Cricetulus griseus: one gene and its partners. The protein of the gene in region 1 interacts with the protein of each later gene in a pairwise test. Links are inferred from orthologs where the notes say so. Each region holds a gene or a part of one and is shown on either strand. Other genes may lie near its edges.

Region 1 (3,480 bases):
TTCTTCCCAAATTACTGTAGCATATAGATAGTAGTAGATATTGCTGGGAAAGGAAGAATCCTCCTTTTTTGAAGTTTTGGCCACTGGTAGGTTTTCCATGCTTCATGCATAGCCCCATACTTACACACATGATCAACACTAACTGGATTTAAAGACTCCAAGTTGGTTGAAAGGTGTATTGGGGGACACTTGAGAAGTTGAAGGAGGAAATAAGAGGGAGAAATGATATTTTTTCTACATACATATATGAAATTAAAATAAAGGAGTATTCAAAACAAAGCCAAAAGTCTGGCCAAGATACTTTATTTTCCTCTTTTTAACACTGTGTTCTCCTGCTGACATCACTGTTTGTTAAATCACATAACTTTCTTCTCTTACTTACCCTCTCCGCCAAGTTTTTCTCCTTCCTGGCATTACTGCTGCCAGTGCCTACTCTAGCTCACCTTTTGTTTCTTGAACCTCTCTCTCCTGTATGCAACAAGCTGGAGATGAGGTTGGGACCAGGTCTGGATTGGCTGCATTCAATGGCAATGGAGATCAAAGGAGTCTTAGTCCACCCACTGTCAGACCAAGGAACTGATAAATAAGGAAGAGGCAGAACCCTCTGTTTCATCTTCAGCAATATTTATTGGAAACAGCAACGCTTCCCATGGTGAGTTTATACATTAAGCAGGAAGATTTACCTTTCACTCCACATGAACCACTACTGCAAGTGGCATATCGGAAGCAGCACATTAAACCTCTGAAATAGCCTGTACAGCTAGATAAATAGAACTCTGGGTGCCTAACAGGACTTCCATGACTGAAGGGGAAAAGAACCAGAGAAAACACAAAATAAAAACAACACTGATCAGCTTGCACAGCACTGTACACACAAAATGAAGATGCGATAGAAGGGTTAAAGTAATGACTAAAGTGTGAAAGGGTTTTATATGCAGCCACATACTTAAACTGCTAAGCACAAAAATCATCTTTATTTGGTCCTCATTGAGGGCAGAATATACACAAATGATGTTCAAGGAACACAAACAAGATAAAAGTGGGAAGGAGCAACGGTCACTATGTCTTGTTCTATGAAGATGTGGGAAATGCTTACTAGTGTTTCTCTCCTATGTTTTTGTGGCAGAGGGACTCAGGAAATGGACTGATTCCTGGGTAAATAAACAGAGAAGGGAAGACAGCTGTTCCCCCTTCCTGTATCCTTCAGAAATGGGCTACGTATATATACAGCTTCTATACAGCAAGGAATCTGAGCTTGGAGATCAGATTCTTCCCAATTCATCCTGGAGAATTTTCTCTTTTCAGACAATATACACAATGCTCACCAACTCACTCAGAAATAAGTGGGAACGCCACCTCTCTAGTGCTTTAACAGAAGGGAGGGAAGAAAACTGGTATGTCTCAGAAGTAGGAGATAGATGATAGATAGATAGATAGATAGATAGATAGATAGATAGATGATAGAAGATGGATGGATAGATAGCTAGATGGATAGATAGATAGATAGATAGATAGATAGATAGATAGATAGATAGAAAGATAGATGGATGAGAACAAAAGTGCTTTGGACAATTAATACTTCTGCTGATGGCATCAAAAGTCCAAGTTGTTTAGGCCAGCAGACAATTTGCTGGTGGGGGATGCTTCACCAACAATTCTGTGACTCACACATTTAGGAAGGGAAAGTGCAACAGAAAGGACTTTCTCCTCTGTACATGGGGAACTCCAGACCTTGAAATGGCCCCTGGGTGAGAGACAATATCTTCAGTGAGGAGAGTTTTTCTGTGAGGTGGCTCACAGATTTATTATCAAAAACCGCACCCTCCTGAGAACTGTGTGAAGAGCAGTTCTGTAACCACTGGCTAGTCTCAGATGGAGTTTTAAAGCATGTGCCAGACCCACTGGCCTTGGAAGATACCGTCTATCACCAGGTCAACTGTAGGAGCACACAGGTCAACCCAGGACATGTGTGGGCTTGATGACTCATCCACTGCGGCCTGCATTCATGATGTGTTGGAAGCAGCATTACCAAAGCAGTGGTTAAACTTAACTATCTGGGTCAGAAGGAGGTGAGCCAGCCAGCATAAGATCCTAATGGGGCAGAGCAACCAGAATTTCTACATAGTTGATGGGGAAAAAGCCAGACTGGCCATGAAGCATCCCCTCATACCAGTTCTCATCAATTTGATTAGTGAGTGTGATGATATCACCCTCTTTAAAACCCAGTTCCCCTTCATTTTCAGGTTCAAAGTCATACAGGGCACGGCAGCAGGGCTGGTCCATTTGGGCACCTGAGAATCAGAGGCAGAGAGAACACAAAAAAATCACAGGGTATTTAACCAGCAGCACTTACTGCCTGCCCCACCCACCAGCTTGGTTCCCCATTCCCAGTCACTCAACTCCCTTCTGATCTTCATCTTCCTCCAGCACCCACTACAAAGCATCTTTGTCTCTACCAGCTTCCCTATGTTCCATTAGAGCTTTAAGTGTTGGTGAACATTCTCGGTTGACATGTCCAGAATGAAAAATGGTTACTTGTTTTTTTGTGTGTGGTAAGTATAACAGAGTTCATTAGGTTTATCTTCCTGACAATGCTGAGAGGTGGGAAAGCAATGGCTTTGGAGTTAATAATTAAATTAAGGTTAATTACAGGCATGGCCAAATCCATGCATCTTAATACTTTTAAAATAGTCTAATTAGTTACACAGACAACATTCTAAAACCTCAAAATCATAGGTCAGTTCTCACTCTTTAACAACTGCAGAGCCTTGAGAACTGCTGTAGCCACATAAAGCACTAGGCCCAGGGTTTTTCTCCATGTGACCTGGCTCAAACATTCTGTTTGCTTCTTCATCCAAAATTAAAGTTAACAGAATTTGCTTTAAATTATTGTGTCATCAAATGACAAACATTTTAAAATTCACAGTCTCTATTCAGTAAACTGGTATGTAACATACACATGTGAGTACTGGGTAAAAAAACACAGCCTACAATAATAATGTAGTGCATATTGCATAAATTAATAAAAATGGACTGTATCATAAAAGGGATCTCTTTTAAATGAGTAAACATATTAATACAGCATATGCATAAATACAAATACAAAAGTGATTATGGGCCCCACACTAGCTAGATGTCCTAATAAGGAAACAATATATTTTTTTACTTAGAGAAAATTAAATGTATGTCTTTTTCTGGGCAAGGAGAAGTGCAGTCATAGATAATTAACTCGATGAACTTTAGGGTCACTGCTGTCTGGGCCCCACACTGAGTAACACTGGGCAGTCTGAGCTGTGGACAGAGCTTCACCCTCTTCTTCATACCATGACAGCATGGTATAAAAGTTCTCCAATGCAGTAAATCAGGAGAATGGGAGAAAGCTGTGTATCTTTAACATCTGCATCCAGTGTCACGTGGATTCCCCCTTCTTTAACCTAGACAGTTTCACAGTTGGCAATGCCTGAAGAGAAAAACCTGGTC
Region 2 (3,654 bases), on another chromosome or scaffold:
TTGTGATTTAATAAAGTGATTGTAATAAAATGTTTTTAAATAAAAAGTTTGTATGTTTCAGAATCAGTATATTGAAAGGGAACTAAGCCATCTTTCTTATGGCAGGAATTGTCTACTCTTGTTCATTGATTTCTCATGAGGAATCATGTTTGTTTTTGTAAAATGCTAGAATAACGAAAGCAATACTTACAAAACACATCTCCTCGAAGGCTTCGCTCCTGTTCTATCGCATTCTGTAGGATTTTGTCTCTTTTTTCTTCCTCCAGCCCCTCTCCCTTTCTCTCTTCCGTCCTCTTTTGCTCTCCATCAGAGTTTCCGCCCCTGGAAATGCTCTCTTCAGAGCTGAAAGGCAAGTTAACCTTAGGGGTGTGTGTACTGGTGGGTCTTGGGGTGACATTTTTCAGCTTCACCTTTTTCTTCATATTGTGCTTGTGAGCCAGTAACTTCTTGATTCGATCTTTGATGGTCCCAGGTGCTCTGAGAAATTCCTTCACAGAGTTTTCAGGGATAACTAAACCAAAAAGCAAGACAGGAGAATTCCCATTTGGTTGAGATCATTCTTGAACAATCAAACATTTTGGAAGTGTCAAAATGCAGGAAGTAAATGTTTCCAGAATCAGCCCCAAATAATAACTTTATAACACCCTCCTCCAAATCTCAGGGAATGTCATGGAAGAGGGGATGGAAAACTATGAGTACCAGAGGATGAGCAGTTGTGCTGTGAAACACTGTCCTCTGAACATAACATGGATATTGCACTCAGGAGCTCATGCTAGCTATGGTAACTTGCACAAGATGGATCCTATCAACATTCCATTACGAATGGAGGGGAGAGGCTTATGAGGCCCCATCTTCTTTGAGGAGCTGTTGGTAGGTAATGGTTAATGGGGGGGGGAGTCATTTTCTTCAATGGTGTAGATACTGGTAAACTGCCCTGCTTCAGTAAATAACTACCCTCACCCCATGCTCATGCAAGCAACTCTAATTAATTAAACTCAGTAGGTCACCACCCACCCTAAGAAAAAACAAAACAAAACAACAAAGACACAAAACTAGGAGGGAGACTTTGGATAAAGGCGTTCAGCAGGAGTGGGATGAGAGGCTAATGGGAGGGGGTGTCAAAATGACCAAAATACATTAGATACGTGTATGAAATTGTCAAAGAATGAAGAAAATAAATTTAAAAATGATCAGGTTTGAGAGTCATCATTGATGGGCCACTTCTGGCTGTACTTCCTATGTCCCTGGCAACACACTAACTTTGTCAGTGAAAAACAGTGATAGATAAAAGAAGGGCTAAGTATCAGAATGGCTTGAGAGAGAGTATTGAGATTTCCCCCTTTGTTCAGATTTAAAATACCATATGAAAGGAAGGAGGGCAGACATAGCAGGACTTTGTTGAGGCCCATCAACAGAAGGCTATGTTTTCCCTGGTAAAACATGGGATTTTTAATATTTTTTATATTTGTTTTTTATATTTTTCTTTAAGTTATTTTTTTGGTTCTTTCTTTAATTCTTTTTTTTTATCTAGTCTGTTATATGATTTAAACTACAGAATGGGTTCTCAGTGGAACCATGACTTTTTAAATCAACAGAAAGATTCCAAGATTTTCACCCACCAGGAAGCTTTCTGAAGAATAGAGACATACTCTTTTCCATTCTCTTAAGAGTTAATTCAAAGCTGGGCGTTGGTGGCGCCCACCTTTAATCCCAGCACTCGTGAGGCAGAGGCAGTCGGATTTCTGTGAGTTCGAGGCCAGCCTGGTCTCCAGAGCGAGTGCCAGGACAGGCTCCAAAGCTACACAGAGAAACCCTGTCTCGACCCCCCCCCTCAAAAAGAGTTAATTCAAAAGAGACCTTTCAATCAACTGGAGAATGAGTTCTGGGACACAGAGACCTGGGCATCTCAAAAGCCCTCTGGATACTTATCCATGCCTCTGCCATTACGACTCTGTGAGGTTTCCTGATCCACTCTTAAAAATTACCTAGTCAGCTTTGCAAGAGACTGGACTTTCTACTCATTGGCCTCAGTCTTCTTTGGAGGAGCTACTTTTGTTTCATGTGCCCTGCCCTGCCCTCCCTTTCCCCTTCCCTTCTCCCTCCCTTTCCCTTTCCTTTTCCCTTTCCCTTCTCTTCCATTTCTCTTTCCTCTTTCACTTCCCTTCCCTTTTCCTTTCCATTTCCTTTCCTTTTCCCTTTCCCTTTCCCTGTTCCTTCTCTTCCTCTCTCTCCTTCCTCCTACTCCCCTTCCTCCTTCTCCTCCTCCTCTTCTTCCTCCTCCTCCTCTTCCTCCTCCTCTTCCTCCTCCTCCTCCTCCTCTGGTTTTTCAAGAATGGGTTTCTCTGTATAACAGCTCTGGCCATCCTGGACCTCACTTTGTAGACCAGGATGGCCTCGAACTCACAGAGATCCCCCTGCTTTTTGTGCCCCCCCCCCAACTGGGATTACAGGTGTATGCCATCACCGGCTAGCTCTATGTCCCATTTTAAAAAACATTTCCAGGCACAATTTATGCTTCTCATCATCATTTTTCTTCAAAATCGATTCTTTTGAAAGTTCTTCATGGAATGGACCTAGCCACAGTCCACTTGGATACCAGGAACCTTTTATGTGTGTGCTGTTGAATGTCTGTCATGGCACATAGTGTTTAGTCTTGCACAGCTTAGAAGATATTCTGTGTGTCATCAGCAGACTTGGCTGGGTGGGGTCACAGGATATGAGGCAGGTCAGAATATGATTTACAGCCATACTGATGAGAATTGTGCCAAAGGGCATAGGAGATACTTGAGACAGGGCAGTAAAGAAGTCTATAGCAGGTGTTGCAGGGCATGCCTCTAGTCCCAGGACTCAGGAAGCTATGGCAGGATAGTAGTCAGTTCAAAGCTAGCCTTGACTACATAGTGAGTATTAGGCAGCCAAGACTACATAGCAAGACCTTTTTTTCAAAACAAATAATCAAACCAACAGGGCCAGTGAGATGGCTCAGCTCATTAGAGGCTCTTGATGCACAAGCCTGGTTTGATCTCCAGAGTCCACAAAAAGGTGGACAGAGAGCACTGACTCCAGAAAGTTTCTCCTGACCTCCACATGTATACATGTATGCTATGGTATGCATGCCCCTCAAACACCATTCACACGCGCGCACACACACACACACACACACACACACACGCACACACACACTAATAATAATAATAATAATAATAATGATAATAATGTACACACACTAATAATAATAATGATGATGATGATGATGATGATAATAATGTAATAATAATGAAAATCAAAACCAACCAAACAAACAAAAACACAATACAATACAACAAAACAAAAGCAAGTCTAGTCACACAATGGGCCAGGATTACAAGAAAGATAAATCTAGGGGCTGGAGAGATGGCTCAGAGGTTAAGAGCACTGACTGCTCTTCCAGAGGTCCTGAGTTCAATTCCCAGCAACCACATGGTGGCTCACAACCATCCCTTATGAGATCTGGTGCCCTCTTCTGGTGTGCAGATGTACATGGAAGCAGAATGCTGCATGCATAATAAAAAAATAAAATATTAAAAAGAAAGATAAATCTAGAAGTTGATGTTAATTATTATTTTATCATAATTACTACTATTCATCTTGACCTCATGAAGCCCAGGCCAAACT
Region 3 (3,654 bases), on another chromosome or scaffold:
ACACTGAAGGCAGCAGAAGCCCCACCCAACTCTAGCCATGCCCAGGAGATGCAGGGAGAAGAGCATCATGGGCATCTCTTGTCCAGATGGTCTTTTCTGGGTTCTCAAGCCCAAGTCTCAGCCTGGCAGTTACAGGTACAAACAAGCAGAGGTGGAACAACCGACAAGATGTCAGGCTGTCAACTGCCCCACTAGCTAATATGACTAAAGAAGCCAACAGGCAGCTGGGCAGTGGTGGCCAAGCCTTTAATCCCAGCACTTGGGAGGCAGAGGCAGAGGCAGATCTCTGTGAGTTTGAGGCCAGTGTGGTCTACAAAATGAGTTCCAAGACACTCAGGACTATTACACAGAGAAACCATCTTGGGGGAAAAAAAAAGCAGCAGCCAATAGGAAAGCAGCATTATTGAGTGGCTTCAGGAATGAAATTCCAGACAGTACTTTAGCTTAAAGTTCTTTGTTAAGTCTAAAGTAGCTTTTCCACACTCATGTTTCCGGCATTTACCCCGAGGGTACGGCTTACTTGACATTTTCAAGCCCTCCCCTGAACCCACAACTACCTGCAGCTACATAAGGATGGCTGTCTCATATGTCCTGATCACACAGAGACGTGTAAGTAGCAGGGACAAGGAAGCAGCTGTGCATGCACAGGCCACGGCTCTTCTTACCTGAACAGGACTGGGTGCAGGATGATTTCCACCATGCTGGCTTTGTTGCTGTCCAGTGGGAGTGGCCGAAGGCTGAGGATGGGGCGTATGTGGATGCAGGGTGGCATTAGGATGTGCATACTGCTGAGCAAGGGAGCCCGTGGAAACTAAGGCAAAAGGAAAAGGAATGTATACAATTGATACATGCTGATGACCAATCCCAGCCCAATCCCAAAGCTTCACTGAATGCTTTCACAACCACTACAATCTAACCCATGCCACTGGCATTCTCTGCATCCATTTACATCAGGCAGACTGGAAAATAGACATAAGGGCTCTGCTTAACAAGGTCAGCATTAACTCACATGTTACAGCTCTGCACATTACATCAACATTGAGTTAATTTGAGTTTACTCAAAATAATCCTATTTCTTTTGGAGGGCAGAAACAACTCCAAAAATCACTCTGGCTCACATGAAGACAGGTACAGCCTCTCTCTCTCTCAAGGCCATCATTTGGCTACACTCACCATGCTACTGTCCTACAGTCTCAGTGCCCACATTAGTGAAGCTAGGGGCAAGGACAAGGTCATTGCCATGTCAGTCACAGCATCCATTCCACTCCTGATTCCTACTGAGGAGCTCCTAATTAAGCCTGGAGATGAAACTGCCCACCCCATCCTGTTCACTAGAATAACAAAGGAAACATGATGACCCTATTAAAATGTGATCACAAAGACAAAAGACCCAGGGGCAGGTTTTTATCCATCTAGTATGGGCCCCACCTTGGTACCAAACAAGATGAAGTATTAGGCAAACCTGTGCCTTCACAACAGCAGGCTGAACATGAAAAACCTGGGAAGGCCTCACTCACTATTCCCGTGACTCTGGATAGCTCATGGGTTCAAACTTAATAGCAAGCAGAAAATGGAGTGCTCTTAAGTCATAGGTCTCCCAGTACCAGACCCTGAGCCCTTCACACCCAAGCTGTTATATCACGTTCATGCTCTTCAGATAATATGTCAGCAAACACGGAATGTGGCAGAGAAACAAAAACAGAGTCAGCAAAGCTCCTGACAATGGCCAGCATGGAGGATGCTGGCTGTGTACCACCTCAGTGGTATAGAGGATGGACAATGAAGGACACTCTATTCCCAATAGTGTGGTCTTGAATGGTGAATGCATCTCAGAAGAATGTCAGAGCTGGGGATGACCTGTACACCAAACCACCAAGGCGACAGCTGTCACCAGTGTTCCTCAGTATCTGGCTTAGACTGATGGAGGTGGTTTTGTTTAGACCTCGGTCAAGCTTCCTAAACTGTAAGAGCCAACAGACATGGTAATGAGAAAACCACCGCAGCCTAATCTCAAGTGTTTTCAACGTGATGGTTTTCTGTAAGTCAGAGAGTCTCTGTCTTGTTAGAAGCCACCTATAACCATGACAGTACTTACAGTACTTTCCTTCTTGGAGACACGGTCTCCTAATGGAGCCTATGCTGCTGGATGATGATGACTGGTCCAAAAGTCTCATTCTTAAACCACATATATTAAAACCCCACCCACTGTTTATTGTTTCCTTTGTAGCAATCCAACGAAGGGACAAAAATCCTCTACTTACGGGGTTTCATAAAGATGGTTGGTAGAGAAGCCCAAGAAATCTGAAATTTCATTAGTAATTAATTCCTAAGTATTTAGAACACAAACAAGAAAAGGAAAAGGTGGGGAGACACAGATTAAGGCAGAGCTTTGCCCAGAAGGCCCTGTTCTAGCTCAAGAAGGGGAAAACAACAAATAACTCTGAAGGAAGCTCTAGCAAAATGCTGCACCACTTTCATCATGGAAACCACAGCCATTGCAGTAACAGTGATTATGTTCATCAAGTCTCAAAATTAAATTAGTCAACTGGAAAAAGGTCTTGATATTGCCGCCTGTAAAAAAAATTCAAGATTTTTATTCTTTTCTTTTTCTTTCACACCCCAAGTTGGCCTGGAACCCACCATCCTCCTGACTGCATCAAACCATACATACTCAGCCAGGATGAAATAGCTTTACTACTACCTCACATTTTATGCTCAGGATCAAAGCCAGAATATCCTGCACACTAAGTACAGAGTCTACCACGAAGTTAACATCCTTAGCCACATTTGTAAAATTTAGCAATTAATTAGAAGGAGGGACTAATGGAGCCTCAACTCTCATTATGTAGTTCAAACCCTCAAACTCATTATGCTCAGGATGACCTTGAACGTCTAAGAGAACTTAGCTTCTCACATGATGGGTTCCGATTCTACTACCACATCCAGTTTTGATTTATTTTATTATTATTATTTTTTTTTTCGAGGCAGGGTTTCTTTGTATAGCTTTGGAGCCTATCCTGGCACTCGCTCTGAAGACCAGGCTGGCCTCGAACTCACAGAGATCCACCTGCCTCTGCCTCCTGAGTGCTGGGATTAAAGGCGTGCACCACCAACACCCGGCTTGATTTATTTTTATATTCAACGTTCTTTCTACATTGCCTGGCTGGCTCCAAACTCTTAGGCTCAACCAAACTTCCTGCTTTAGCTTCTTGAATAGGCAAGACATACATTATACCAACTTTAACTATGCATTTAAAAACTTTAAAATTATTATTGATGTGTGTGTATGCTAGCTATGGGGTGAGAGTGAAGGAACATGACATGGCTTTCATGTGATAGTCAGCAGAGCTGGTTTTCTCCTTCTACCTTCTTATGGATTCTGGAGTTTTGAACTCCAGTTGCCAGGGTTGCACGCACAGTGATTTTCATAATTGAGCCAACTTGCTGGACCTATATATACATCTTTTAAAAAGATTTATTTTTATTATATGCATGTATTTTGCCTGTATGTAAGTAAGTTTGTGCAACACATGTGTGCAGTGCCCACAGAGACCAGAAGAGAGCTTTGGATCCCTCGGAACTAGGTATAGACTGTTATGAGCAGTCATGTGGGTGCTGGGAACCAAACCTGGGTCCTCTTACAAGAGTAGCCAG

What was found.
Region 2: the proteins of Sh3gl2 (region 1) and Egfl6 interact in a two-hybrid assay, tested with the Homo sapiens proteins (2 studies listed by BioGRID and IntAct). The link is inferred for Cricetulus griseus from reciprocal best matches to the Homo sapiens genes SH3GL2 and EGFL6.
Region 3: the proteins of Sh3gl2 (region 1) and Atxn2 interact in binary tests that used the Homo sapiens proteins (3 or more experiments, as listed by UniProt). The link is inferred for Cricetulus griseus from reciprocal best matches to the Homo sapiens genes SH3GL2 and ATXN2.

Annotation. Positions count from the first base shown.
Region 1 is NC_048595.1:62,445,555-62,449,034, forward strand, and holds the end of Sh3gl2 (endophilin-A1), read right to left. Parts: intron 2,292-3,480; coding exon 2,092-2,291; 3' UTR 608-2,091; downstream 1-607. UniProt on the Homo sapiens protein: Implicated in synaptic vesicle endocytosis. May recruit other proteins to membranes with high curvature. Required for BDNF-dependent dendrite outgrowth.
Region 2 is NC_048604.1:101,321,076-101,324,729, forward strand, and holds part of Egfl6 (epidermal growth factor-like protein 6), read right to left. Parts: intron 512-3,654; coding exon 191-511; intron 1-190.
Region 3 is NC_048597.1:101,656,925-101,660,578, reverse strand, and holds part of Atxn2 (ataxin-2), read right to left. Parts: intron 812-3,654; coding exon 666-811; intron 1-665. UniProt on the Homo sapiens protein: Involved in EGFR trafficking, acting as negative regulator of endocytic EGFR internalization at the plasma membrane.